Elephas maximus indicus: one gene and its partner. The protein of the gene in region 2 purifies or fractionates together with the protein of the main gene of each other region. This does not show direct contact. Links are inferred from orthologs where the notes say so. Each region holds a gene or a part of one and is shown on either strand. Other genes may lie near its edges.

Region 1 (7,510 bases), on a different chromosome or scaffold from region 2:
AAAACAAAGTATTGTAAATAGAAAACTAGTGTCACTTGCCTTAAATAGAAAATAACAGTAAGATTAAATACAATGAATATTTTTAAAATCTATTACTGCTGCTACTGTTGTGACTAGTGGTCTAAGCTTGAGACTGTTTTCTCTCTCTTAAATTTGGAGGTGAGCAGGTAATGGAGATGTAGGTGTTAAAGGCAAAGAAGCACCAAGCCAAGACTGTCTTGGGACGTCAACAGAAGACTCCCATGAGAATGAGAAAGAAAACAGCTGCACCCAATGTCATTCAAGGCTGAGCCTGGATATCAAGGCATCCTCACGGTTACCTAACACCATCCTGTGTCCCACATGGGCTGCCTCCCACATCAGAGGAATCCAGCACTATCCCAATCTGCCTTGTCTGTGCCAGGTGTGAGTAGGTTCTGTGAAGGGAAACTCAGAGAGGAGGGGTTTATGCCTTGGATAGGATGGGGGCAGGGCTGTAAATCTTGCAATGGGAAGACACTTGGGCTCATATCTCATACACGGTGTTATGATCGGGTAAATTGCTGAGGAAGGTTGGACGTCACTTTGGGCTGGAAAATCAGCATATGCTTCCTGGAGAAGGTGACATTTAAGCTGTCCTAAAAGGATAGGTATGTTCCTGGGTGTGGCAAACGTTTAAGCGCTTGACTGCTAACCGAAAGGTTGAAGGTTCAAGTCCACCCAGAGGTACTATAGAAGAAAGGTCTGGTGATCTACTTCTGAAAAATTAGCCATTGGAGACCGTAAGGAGCAGGGTCCTACTTTGACACATATGGGGTCTCCATGAGTCAGAATCTATATGATGGTAAGTTTTTTTTTTTTTATAAGGATGGGTGGGATTTGGGCATATGGAAATTGTGGTGTGGGCAAAGGGCTACCCACAAAGAAGAAACAGGATGAAAAACACACTAAAATCCTGGGACCCATTTGGGAAATTGGGTGTGTGTTCAGGGCCTACCGTGTAGACCAGGATTAGGTTTTGGGGGAGAGAGGACTTGGATACCTTGTCCAAGGCAATGGGCAATGGGAGCCATTGATGGTTTTAGAGGTGGGGAGTGATGTGATGAGACAGGCTTTGAGCTCTGCACATAAGGCAGTTCTTGGGCCAACAGAAGCTAATTCCTTCAGAAATTCATTTGCACTTGAAGGGAATTATTTCTTTCTGGAATGCAATATGCCCTTTTTAGACTCCCTAAAGGGAGAGCATGTTGTATTCACCTGTTACTGAGCCAAGCATTGTACCTGGCATACAGCAGGTGCTTACAGACTGTGTGTTGAATTGAGTTTAGGGGTTGAGTTCCACCTGCAGTGAACATCAGTTCCTGGCTGGTCTTCCTTCTGGCTCGCTCTTCCAACGCCAGACCTGTCCAGGGACTCTGGGCTGGCCCCAAACTTACTCTTTCTGTGAGCTACTCTAATTGGCCTTGGAAGCCTTGTGGTCAAGTTTATTATGATCATGCCATAAACCAGGGCCAGTAAAGTTTCAAGGGAAGACAAGGCCAGCCAAGTGTCCTGGTTTATTGCTCACGAGACACCTTTATTGGGTCTGCCCCAGGGGAGAGGTTGAGAACTCTGGCCTCCGAAGCTTTGAGTTGAGTCAGCATGGGACGTGCTTCCTTTAGGTGCAAAGGTCCATTCGGGATATAACAAAAACTTTTTAAAAAGTTGTACACCCTTGAACCAGCGAGCTCACTTCTAGGCAATGTTTATCTTGAGAAAATAATTACATGTGGATGTTCACTGCAGTGTTGGTTATAATGGTGAATAATTCAGAACAATTTAAAGATCCAGTACTAAAACAAACAAACAAAAAAAACCCAAATTCGTTGCCATCCATTTGATTCCGACTCATAATGACCCTATGGGACAAAGTAGAACTGCCCCAGAGGGTTTCCAAGGAGCGGCTGGTGGATTTGAGCTGCCTACTTTTTTTTTTCACCTTTTGTTTAGCAGCCGTAGCTCTTAACTACTGCATCATCAGGGCCCTGATCCTGTACTAGAGGGTAGGTGATTTGTGTAATTGATGTCGTTGTTAGGTGCCATTGGGTCAATTCCAACTCATAGTGACCCCATGTGACAGAGTAGAACTGCCGCATAGGGTTTTCTAGGCTATAATCTTTACGGGAGTAGATCTCCCAGGACTTTCTCCTGTGGAGCTGCTGGGGGGGTTCGAACTGACAACCCTTTGGTTAGCAGCTGAGTGCTTAACAGTTGCGCCAACAGGCCACCTTCCTATGCAATTGTCTCTAATATACCCACTCCTCGCTTAATTTTTTTTTTTCTTCACTTATTGACAGTTTTAGTTAGGTTCAAAAGACCAGGTTGTTAAGTGGAAACCAACGTTATATGAAAATGGAGGATGACTATATCATTACATAACTGCCAAATTTCATCATTACATAACTGCCAAGCCACTGAGAATCATGGCCCAGCCAAGCCGACACATAACCTTAACCCTCATACCCAGCATTACTCTTGCTTCATACCTTGGTGTTCGTTACTGCCAGACATACATTGTTGATGCACAAAATAGATAGTAGATTTTTTACTATTGGAAATGCAAAATGTCAGATAACAAGATAGTCAGTTAGCGAAGAGTCAGTGTAGAGTCCTATATAAGCATTAGAGTCTGTTGTATAGCTATTGACATGAAGGATGTTCATGATATATATTTAAAAATAAAATAAAAAGAGTATATGGTCTAATTCTATTTTAGTTTTGGCAGAAAGTTCCCATTTACATTGGCAGATGTCCCGGTTGACATATATCAGAATGGTAATAGTGGTTGTTGGCTCTGGATGGTGGGATTTAGGGTTATTAAAAAAACTTTTGTTCATATGTATTTCTGTATTTTAAAATTTTTTTGTACTTACCATGTAGGGCAATTGAAGAGGCCTAGTGAAGCTACAGAGTCGCTATGAGCAGAATCAACATGAAAGCAAAGGGTTTTTTGTTGTTGTTGTTTAGTGAAGGGGTGGAGTCCTGGTGGCTCAATGGTTAAGCACTTGGATGCCAACCTAAACGTTGGCAGTTCGAACCCACCATCCTATCTGCAGGAGACCAAAAACCAAAACCAAACCCAGTGCCGTTGAGTCAATTCCAACTCATAGCGATCCTATAGGACAGAGTAGAACTGCCCCCATAGAATTTCCAAGGAGTGCCTGGTGGATTCGAACTGCTGACCGTTTGGTTAGCAGCCGTAGCACTTAACCACTACGCCACCAGGGTTTCCTCTGCAGAAGAGACCTGAAAATCTGCTGCAAATATTACAGCGTAGGAAACCCTAGGGGTCAGTTCTACTCTGTCCTATAGTTTCGTTGTGAGTCGGAAGTGACTTGATGGCACACAACAACAGCAGTGAAGGGGTGGGTCTCAGCCAGAATACTGTAAGGGCTTTGGATGCATAGGAGTCCCTGGGTAGTGTAAATGGTTAACACAGTTGGCTGCTAACCAGAAGGTTGGTGGTTCGAGTCCACCAAGGTACCTCAGAAGAAAGGCCTGGCAATCTACTTCAGAAAAATCAGCCATTGAAAACACTATGGAGCACAGTTCTACTCTGACATACATGGAATTGCTGTGAGTCAGAATCAACTCTACGACAACTGATTTTAGATAAAAAGGGGGCTGTCACGTCCTTGAGGAAGTCTAGTCTCTTAGGCAACTGAGTTCTCCACAACTTAGCACCAGGGTCGGCAAACTTTTCTGTAATTATCTGCCAGAGAAAAACTAATTTTTATTATAAATACTTTAGGCTTTTTATTATAAATAAGTATTTTAGGCTTTATGGGTCGTATGGTCACTGTCACAAATGCTCAACCCTGTTGTAGTACCTTGAAAGCAGCCACAGACAGTGCACAAATAAATGAGTGAGGCTGTGTTTCAATAAAACTTCATTTACAAAAATAGGAAATGGGCCAGATTTGGCCTGTGGGCCACAGTTTGCCAATCCCTGATCTAGAAAAAAACAGTAACAAAAAAGCAGCTTGATTTTCTTAGTGAGTGCTCCAGCCAGTTCAAAAACAGCATAAACAGTAGGAAGGGGCACACCAATGAAAACTGAAAAGGCGGATGTTTAAAGAGATCTTGGCAAAAAGATAATGTTGTCACCTTCCTCTTCCAAATGGGTGGTTGCACCTGGGAAAAGGGCATTGGGCCGAAGCAATCTGGATTTTGCTTTGGCATTTCTAAAATGCAAAAATCTTGTTTAAAAAGCACCTGTTGAACCCAGTGTTCCCCCAAATCTCTTAACCATAGGACCCATTTGTGGGTGTGAATGTGACCTACCCACCTCTTTTTCCTTGGGGAAAAGCCACCTCCAGCTGTCCCTGTGGATTCTAGAAGTCTGAAATGTCAGAGGTGTGCTGAGCTTGAATGAGGAGGCCGTTTACCTGAAATTAAAAACCAAAAAAAAAAAAAAAAAAGCCTTTGCGGTTGAATCGATTCTGCCTCATGGCGACCCCATGTGTTACAGAGTAGAACTGTGCTCCATAGGGTTTTCAGTGGCTGTAATCTTGACAGGAGAAGCCCCGGTGGTGCAGTGGTTAAGCACTCGGCTGCTAACTGAAAGGTTGCCGGTTCAAACCCATTAGCCGCTCTGAGGGATAAACATGTGTCAGTCTACTTCTGTAGAGATTTACAGCCTTGGAAACCCTATGGGGCAGTCCCACCCTCTCCTGCAGGGTTGCTATGTGTTGAAATCAACTGGACGGCAATGGGTTCTTTTTTAAAATCTTTACAGAAGCAGATCGCCAGACCTTTCTTCTGCCGTGCTGCTGAATGGGTTTAAACCACCATCCGTTTGGTTAGCAGTCGGGTGCAAACGGTTTGTGCTGTGCTGAAATCAAGACTATGCTAATTAAGGCAATTCTTAACAGAAGTATTAAAACTCAGGAAGAAACTTGGCTCTCACCACTTCTCCTGCCGGCAAAGGAATTTCATTTAGTCTCTCAGCAAACCTTTTTGAGCACCAGCTGTTTATAAGGAATCATGAAGGATGTAGAAGATTTAGTTGTGTCTCAGAATACAGAAAGTGGGACTCCAGAGCCTGGCTCAGAGCCATAGTAGATAGATAGAATACAAAGCACATAGTAGTATATAGTAGGTACTCAATAATTGTGTATTGGAATGAATGAAGAAATGAAGAAATGACCTAGGACCACTGCCATGGGGACAGAGAGGATGCACTCCAACAGCATTTGACATTTCGGTGGGGCACTTCCCATGAGTGGCAGGGTGGCGGGGCAGCAGAGTCATATCTAAAGGATGGCAGGTATGGCATATGCCTTGGGCTCCACTTGAAGGGGAAGCGCCAGTGAGCAGTTTAATTTGGCCTTCACGGTTTCTACTGCCAGCTGTGAGAGATCATTCAGCAATTTAAAACTAATTGCCGTAGGCCTACTTTTCATAGATGTGCTTCTGTTTAGACCCATCTGTGGCCGCTGGGCGGACAGACCATACGCGTGTACTGCAGCCCTGCTCTTGTAGAAGGACAAGCACATGGGTTTTGCCTGTCCACTCTTGCCCCTTCACACAGTGCACCCCACGGGATAGATTTGCAGATTTAAGGGCTGAGGTCACATTCCAGAAGGTGCTGGAAGGTGTCAGGATAGGCCCACACCCATCACCAGATGGTGGCATTCCCAGGGTATGGTACCCGGAGATGACTGAGTGAATGGTTGCCGAGCGCCCAGATCGGATCTAAGGCTGTAATTATGAAAGATCGTCAGCAGCTGTTCGAATGAATCAAAGCCTCCCAGTCTGGGAGAAAAGCTGCCAGACTGCTAGGTTTTGAATGGAAGTGCTTCCCTTGCCTTCTACCTCTGTGGGCCTCTCGGATTTCCTAGGAGACTGTGAGCTCCGTGGCTGTTGCCCTCAGCACCCAGCACCCAACCTGGCATTTGACAGGTAGGCAATCCGTGTTTGTGGAAGGAGCATTGGAAGGATGGACAGGTGAATACTTTCAAATGTCTCCTGTCTGATTTCAGTAACTGTTGCTCTTGGCGACTCCCTTCCCAGGAAAATGGTTTTCTCTGCATGAAATTGCAGGAAATGGGAATTTCAAAGTTTACAAATCAATTTAGGGAGATCGAGCTTGAGGACTTGGCGGGTTCAGCAGCAGCAGAGAAAGACCCATTGCTACTGTCACTGCTTGAGGTCAGACTGATGTAGTCTCGTTCTTTACTGATGTCCGCTACGGCTTCCTGGCCTTCCAGGTGGACACCTTGCTTCCTGTCTGCTGCCCATTGCTGACCTCCGTAATAAATGTTAAAAAATAATACAATTAGAGATTGCTCAGATCAGTTTCCCTTCTTTCTTCAGCCAGTCCCAGGGAGCTCTTGTTTACCTTGCTTTGGCCATGTTGTTGTGCCGTCAGTGCCATCGGTTTGGTTCCAATCTGTGGTGACCCCGTGTGTTACAGAGCAGAACTGTTCCATAGCAGTTTCTTGTCTGTAATCTTTATGGGAGCAGATTGCCAGGCCTTTCTTTCATAGCACTGCTGGGTGGGTTTGAACCACCAACTGTTCGGTTACCAACCAACTGCAAACCATTTGTGCCACCTAGGGCCCATGGCTTCAGACATAGTGCTCAGCTAATTTAGAAAGAGTGAATGAGGCTACCCCAGGAATAGCAAGCAGCTGGCCTCTGTGTGCCTGGGCTTCTGAAATGTTTTGGAAGAGACCCACGTCTCTTAAATCAAGCATAGCATATGTGATCCATTTAAAGTGAGGTTTAAAGCCTATATTTAAATTGGTTGCCTTTTACAACAGGTTAAGTAAAAATCGGAGAATCGAGGGCTTCTGGGTTTGGGAAGGACTTGAAAATATTATTTAGCCATCCACTATCATAGCTTAGAAACTCTTTTACCTTCGTTCATTGATGTATTAATTAATTCACCGCACCATTCATCAAACCATATTGACATATCAGGCATTTGCCAGGCATTTAAAATTAAAACTGGCGAGGAAGCACAGGATATTAAACAGATTACAGACAACAGAGGCACTACTCTGGTAAAGAGAAGTGCCTACCAAGAACCTTGCTTTCTCTTCTCTCTCGTCTTGCCCTTCCCTGTGGGATGGCCCCTAAGGCAGATCCAAGGAAGCCAACCCATTGCCATCAAGTTGATTCCGACTCACAGCAACCCTATAAGACAGAGTAGAACTGCCCCATAGAGTTTCCAAGGGTGTAATCTTTATGGAAGCAGACAACCACATCTTTCTCCCATGGTGGGCCTGTGTGTGTGTGAGCGAGAGGGGTGTTCCAGAGAGCAGGCGCAGCCCGTGCAAGGCCCTGCAGAGGTGTTTGAGGACATACTGCTGCTGCTGCTGTTGTTAGTTGCTATCAAGTCAATTCCTACTAATGGCCCCCCACGTGTGCAGAGCAGAACTGTGCTCTGTAAGGTTTTCAGTGGTTGTGACCTTTTGGAAGGAGATTTCCAGGCCTTTCTTCTGAGGCTCTTCTGGGTAGGTTCGAGCCACCAACCCTTTGGCTA
Region 2 (6,985 bases):
AAATGGTGGCTTAGCTCCTTCCATTCGCCATCTAGCGGCTGGCTGCCCGTCTCACTCTGTTATGGATTGAATTGTGTCCCCCGAAAATATGTGTCCACTTGGCTAGGGTAGGATTCCCATTATTGTCCTCCAGTCTGCCATCTTGATCTTGATTTTCCCATGTGTTGTAAATCCTACCTCTATGATGTTAATGAGGTGGAATTAGTGGCAGTTATGTTAATGAGGCAGGACTCAATCTACAAGATCAGGTTGCTTTTTAAGTCAATCTCTTTTGAGATATAAAAGAGAGAAGTGAGCAGGGAGACATGGGTACCTTAAACCATCAAGAAACAAGAGCCAGGAAGATAGTGTGTCCTTTGAGCCCAGAGTCCCTGTGCTGAGAAGCTCCTTCACCAGTGAAGACTGATGACACGGATCTGTCCCCAGAGCTGAGTGAGAGACAAAACCTTCCTTTGGAGCTGGTACCCTGAATTCAAACTTCTAGCCTCTTAGACTGTGAGAGAATACATTTCTCTTTGTCAAAGCCATCCACTTGTGGTATTTCTGTACTAACAGCATTAGATGACGAAGATACCACCTGACATGCTATATGTAATTGTTAGCTGATTGTCTCTCTCCTCGGCAACATTTAAGCTCCAAGACAACATGGAATGTTTCTTCACTGCTGTATTCCCACATTGGCACGTTAAAAAAACCAAAGCAAACCCGTTGCCGTCAAGTAGATTCTGACTCATAGTGACCCTATAGGACAGAGTAGAACTGACCCATAGAGTTTCCAGGAAGTAGCTGGTGGATTCGAACTGCCAACCTTTTGGTTAGCTGTGGATCTCTTAACCACTGTGCCACCAGAGCACATAGTAAAAAAAAAACACAAACCAAATCCATTTCTGTCCAGTTGATTCCGACTCATAGCGACCCTATAGGACAGAGTAGAACTGCCCCATAGAGTTTCCAAGGAGTGCCTGGTGGATTAGAACTGCTGACCTTTTGATTAGCGGCAATAGCACTTAATCACTATGCTAACTGGATTTCCAGGGCACATAGTAGGTTCTCAATAAATATTTGTTGACTGCCGGGTCCTTCTTCCTAGGCTGTCATAGTTTGGAAGTTCAGCTGAAACCTGTCCTCCACGGGTAACCCTGCTGGTATCTGAATACTGGTGGCATAGCTTCCAGCATCACAGCAACACGTAAGCCCCCACAGTACAAGAAACTGACAGACATGTGAGGGAACGGCACTTCAAAACCCTCTCATTCAACAAATATTTATTGAGAACCTACTATGTGCCCTGGAAACCCTGGCAGCATAGTAGTTAAGTGCTATTGCCACTAACCACTCGTCTATGCCAAGAAATATGTAAGACAGCTTCCTGGCCAACTGACTGGAAGAGATCCATATTTATGCCTATTCCCAAGAAAGGTGATCCAACTGAATGCAGAAATTATAGAACAATATCATTAATATCACAGCAAGCAAAATTTTGCTGAAGATCATTCAAAAGTGGCTGCAGCAGTGTATCAACAGGGAACTGCCAGAAATTCAGGCTGGTTTCAGAAGACATGGAACCAGGGATATCACTGCTGATGTCACATGGATCCTGGCTGAAAGCAGAGAGTATCAAAAGGATGTTTACCTGTGTTTTATTGACTATGCAAAGGCATTCAATAACAAATTATGGATAACATTGTCAAGAATGGGAATTCTAGAACACTTAATTGTGCTCATGAGGAACCTTTACATAGACCAAGAGGCAGTCGTTTGGACAGAACAAGGGGATACTGATTGGTTTAAAGTCAGGAAAGGTGTACATCAGGGTTGTATCTTTTCACCATACTTATTTAATTTGTATGCTGAGCAAATAATCTGAGAAGCTGGACTAGACTAAGAAGAATGGGGCATAAGGATTGGAGGAGGATTTATTAACAACCTGGGTTATGCAGACAATACAACCTTGCTCGCTGAATGTGAAAAGAACTTTAAGCACTTCATAAGGAAGGTCAAAGACCACAGTCTTCAGTAGGGATTGCACCTTGACATAAAGAAAACAAAAATCCTCACAACTGGACCAGTGAGCAACATCATGATAAATGGAGAAAAGATTGAAGTTATCGAGGATTTCATTTTACTTGGATCCACAATCAACACCCACAGAAGCAGCAGTGGAGAAATCAAATGACGCATCGCGTTAGGTAAATCTGCTGCAAAGGACCTCTTTAAAGTGTTGAAAAGCAAAGATATTCTTCTCTTTGCCTTGAAGAATAAGGTGCACCTAACCCAAGCCATGGTATTTTCAATCACATCATATGCATGTGAAAGCTGGACAATGAACAAGGAAGAGGGAAGAATTGACGCCTTTGAATTGCGGTGTTGGTGAATATTGAATATACCATGGACTGCCAAAAGAACGAACAAACCTGTATTGGAAGAAGTACAGCCAGAATGCTCCTTAGAAGCAGGCCTGGGGAGACTGTGTCTTACACACTTTGGACGTGCTGTCAGGCGGGATCAGTTCCTGGAGAAGGACGTCACGCTTGGCAAAGTACAGGGTCAGTAGAAAAGAGGAAGACCCTCAGTGAGGTGGATGACACACTGGCTTCAACAATGAGCTCAAGCATAACAACGATTTTAGGGTGGCTCAGGACCAGGCAGTGTTTCGTGCTGTTGTGCACAGGGTTGCTATGAGTCAGAACTGACTCGAAGGCACTTAACAACAAATTCTCTTCTCTAAATTTCTGTACTGCCTGTCTATAATATTCTTGTGGGATTTATCTCTGTGGACTGTGACCTTCCTGAGGACAGGGGCCTAGGAAAGGGTTTGGCTCATGGTAATAGTTGCTGTCATTTGTGCAACACTTTACAGTCCTCTCACATGTGACCTGATTTGATTCTCAACAAAGAGCCAGCAAGGCAGGGGGAGGGGTATTATTAGCAGGACTAGCATTCCTGGTCTCTTGCCTTCCAGACCAAGCTTAACAAATATTTGTTGAAGGAGGAGATTTAAAAAAAAGAATTCCTGAGTTACTCTGTGGAGTGAGGCAGCCTTATCAGGCAATGGGTTGGTTCTTTGTAGCACATCTGAAGGTACTCGTAACACCTCACATTTACGGAGCCCAGTTTTCTCTTGACCTGTATCGTCCTCACAACTACCCTGTAGTAGGCAGCTATGAAGGCAGTGACCTTCATGTCTGATTCACCTGTCAGTTATCTTTTGGTGCCTAAAAGAGGGCCTGGTATATGGCAGGTATGCAATAAATGGTGTGACTGGAGGCTCTTTTTTAGAGACCGGGCTCAGGTGCAGTGGCTTGCTCCAAGACCCACACGTAGCCAGGAGTGGCGGGGCAGGGCTGAGATTACACCCCGGGTTCCATCCAGAGCCCAAGCTCGTAGCCACCGCTCCTCCTAAAACTCTCTCTCGGGGTTGGGCTGCCCCTGAGTCGGCACCAGTTCCGGGTCCATCGCAGGCGTGAGCGATGCACGCAGTGGGTCGGGGAGGGCTGTCCCCTCCCAAGTCCAGCGCCTTCCGCATCTCCGCCCGGGACGCCCGCGGGCACGGCTCCTCTGCTGCCACCCGCTTCTGCAGGCAGGCACAGAGCCATCCGCTTCGGCCTGCAGCTCGCCGAAGGACCCCCCCTAGCCTGGCCCCGGCGCCAGCCCCAACCCCAGCCCCAGCCCCCACCCCGCCTACTTAGCCGGCTCGGCCACCGCGCCCCGCCCCGCCGCGCAGGCCCCGCCCCTTACTTCCCCATTCGACGCCCCTCCCTCCGCGCCGCGCTCCATACTTGGCGATCGCAGCGGCCCTGCGCGTTCATTGGCCGAGACCTGGCTGCGTGGGGGGCGGGCCCGGCCCGGGGCCGGGGCGGGGAAGGAAGGTGGCGGCGGCCCGGCGCGGGGGGAGGGGGCGCTGACCCGGATGTTCACTCCTGGGCACCCGGGGAAGTGGAAGCGCCGGGCCCTACTGCGGGGGGGAGAGCCAGAAACGCCGGGACCGGGACCGCTGCCGCCGCCGCCGCCACCATGGTAAAGGCTCGACGTCACCCTCCTCCAGCCCCGGGGGCCCCGCCGGCACTCGCGTTCCCCTCCCCCCGCGGACCCCCGGCCAGTGAAGGGTGGGTTCCCGGGGGTGGGGGAGGGGCGGGGTCCTGGGCTGTAGGCAGACACCATCCTTCCCCGCTCAGGAGGGGGCCGCTGGCCCGGGCGGCTTGGGTGGTCAGTGACCCTGTCTCTCCCTCTCTGCTCCCGCCCTTGGCTCAAGCTGGAGCCCCACTCTCCACCTCTGGGTCAGGCTAGTCTCCCCCATAGCCCAGGCTAGACCCCCCTTCATCCGTGGTCCAGGCCAGGCACCCCCTCCAGTGTCCCAGGCGTGGTCCTTCTTTCCCTCCCCTTGGCCCGGGCTAGGTACTCCTTTCCTCACTTACGGCCCATACTAGGCCCCTGCTCCCCACTGCACTCTGTTCCCCTCTCCATGGTCCCGGCCTGGAGCTCCGTCACTTCCCACCTCCCGCCTGTGGCCTTAGCTCAGATTTGTTCCCCCTCTCCTCCATGGTCTCATTCTGAACCTTCTTTCCTCTCCCGTAGCCTTAAGTCTGGACCTCCCCTCCTTCATGGACTCCGCCTGGACCGTACCTCCCATTTATGCCACCCTTCCCCTCTTGCTGCCGGTCTTAGCGCAGCCTGGGCCTGCGCTCTCCAACTTTACTCTGCCACCAGGGCCCTGCTCCCTGCCCTGCCCCTTGACCCAGTGGCTCACTCCCCCATGCCTAGAGCGAACCTTCCCAGCTGTCTCTCTTCTGGCATGGGAGCGAGGGGAGCTCTCAAACCAGGGTGGTGGTGGTACCAGTGCTGTGCCTTCTCAGGTTGAGGGTTGCCCCTTCTGGGGAGGCCGCCTGGGAGCGAGCAAGGGAAGGGCGGGCATCTGTGTGCCCGGAAGGCAGCGCAGCGCGTTGTGGGCCATCCCCACCCTTCGTGCAGCGGGTGCGGTGCCTGAGGAGTGTCCTGCGGGGCGCCGGGTTCCCACGGAGTGAGAGCATGAGTGGGAGGGGAGGGCTGAGTGTAGGGGAGCTGACAGGACAGAGATGAGCACACAATTGCCCTTGTGAGGCCTTAGCCTTTGGGGGGCCGCTAGGACCTGAGCCCCACATAAGGCCTGGACACGATGCACCCTAGCAGGCGCAGCCTCCCTTTCCCCCTGAACTGTCAGCTTGTGAGGGTTGGAACTGCTGATTATGGAGGTGCCTCGGATCAGGTGAGCTAGATGGAGCTGGAGAGAACTCCACTCGTGGTGGTTGTTTTGGTAATGAAGGCAGGTGCTGCTGTCTGGCTGATTTGACAGGCCTGGGGTTTCACACAGGTCCCTAGGGGCCCTCAGATGGGAGTCTCCCCACTCCACTTTGGAACCTTATGTAGGGCAGGCCCAGCATCCAGGCTGGAAGGGCCAGAGGGTTTCTGCTCCACATAGTCAGAGAACCTGCGCAGATGGGGCTGACTGAGCTGAGCCCATCCACCTGCTGCATCAGGGCCCTGCTGTGGGGTTCCTCTCACCCAGTGCAGGGCGAATGCTTGTGTCTGGACTTTGGGCCCCAAGGGGTTTGAGGATCCTGGTTCCTTGTTTAATCAAGGGATGTTGCTGCTGAATTAGGGTGACTAATTCAGCTTGGCCAAGGATTTTCTTCCTGCATTCCTGTATACGGATTAAAAACATGGCCGGTGTCATTTTTAATGCCACTGAACTTCTCCTGTAGCTCTGACCCAGAGCTGGCTGCATGGGAGGTGAACCTAGCCCTGGGCCTGGGTGGGCAAGGATTTCTCCAGGACAGTTTTGGGGTGAGGAGTTTCAAAGCAGACTGAAGTTTTGTAAGTGTGCTCCCAGGGCAAAAGCAGGAGAGGGTAGATGGAGCGTCAAGTGGAGAGGTGGGGCTACAGAGGCAGCCTATCAGGCCCCGGGAGGGAGGGGCATCTGGCCTTGGCCTCCTGGGTGCCTGATTTTGATGGGATTTGATGGGGTAGTGCCTATAATGACCCAGGAGGAGCGTGACAGCACAACAGGCTCCTGAAGAGTTCTGTATTTGGCTCTCATTTGGACAATCTGAAAAGACTATGGAAGAGATGAGAGAAAAGGACTAATGTTTATTGGGGGCCTACTGGGTACCAGACATCATGCTGCTTGCCTCACTTATATGAACCTGTGTAATCCACACAGCGCCCTTTGGGGTAGTTGCTGTCCCATTTTACAGGTGAAGAAACTGAGGCTTGGGGGTAAAGTAACTTATTCAAGGTGTTGCCTGGTCAGTGGAAAAGCCACGGGCAGTCAGAGGAAGCGCATCTGGCAAGCTCCAAACTGAGTTCCTCCCATTGCACCAGGCTGCCTATGTGAAACATATAAATGGCACTGTTTAAAAACCCTAACAATGGGATACCCAGAGATGGGAAGGGAGGAGTAGTATTTATTGACTACCGACTGTGTGCTAGGTCCTTTGCATAGAAGATCTTATTTAATAGTATGGCAATGCAGATACATTTAGCTTGGGCAAGAATGTGAGGTCTTTGAGGGCAGTGATTTTTGTCTTGTGTTTTCCATAGCTATATCTCCAGGGCCTAGGATGGCATCTGGCACTGAAGCAAATGTCTTGCAGTGCTGTGTTTTGGAATGTGTCTGTGTCCATGAACTTGGTCTCTTGACTTTCACACGGATTCTCGTATCTTGTTTTTAGTATCCCCTAGGCTTGTAAATAATTTCTTGATTATTGTCCGTTTTTATGCCCTGCTTAAATACCCTGACTAATAAACCAGGGTAGACACCTGGGTTAGCACGGAAGTGGTGGCGTGGGGTTGCATCATAGATAAATGTCTTAAGACCATGGAAGTTTATATTTTTACTAGATTTGACAGTAAAGAAAACAGCTAGATCTCAGTTTTCCATGGGGGGACATAGCAGTTTGGTAATCTGAAATGCATTTGACTTTGGAATGAATTCCATGATTTTTGTGGT

What was found. The genes of interacting proteins can lie anywhere in the genome.
Region 1: the proteins of CAPZB (region 2) and KIAA1671 purify together in Homo sapiens (co-immunoprecipitation; 3 studies listed by BioGRID and IntAct, with this or other methods). This does not show direct contact. The link is inferred for Elephas maximus indicus from reciprocal best matches to the Homo sapiens genes CAPZB and KIAA1671.

The regions. Positions count from the first base shown.
Region 1 is NC_064840.1:31,707,362-31,714,871, reverse strand, and holds the start of KIAA1671 (uncharacterized protein KIAA1671 homolog), read left to right. Parts: upstream 1-4,474; 5' UTR 4,475-7,510.
Region 2 is NC_064821.1:59,057,051-59,064,035, reverse strand, and holds the start of CAPZB (F-actin-capping protein subunit beta), read left to right. Parts: upstream 1-3,911; 5' UTR 3,912-4,014; coding exon 4,015-4,017; intron 4,018-6,985. UniProt on the Homo sapiens protein: F-actin-capping proteins bind in a Ca(2+)-independent manner to the fast growing ends of actin filaments (barbed end) thereby blocking the exchange of subunits at these ends.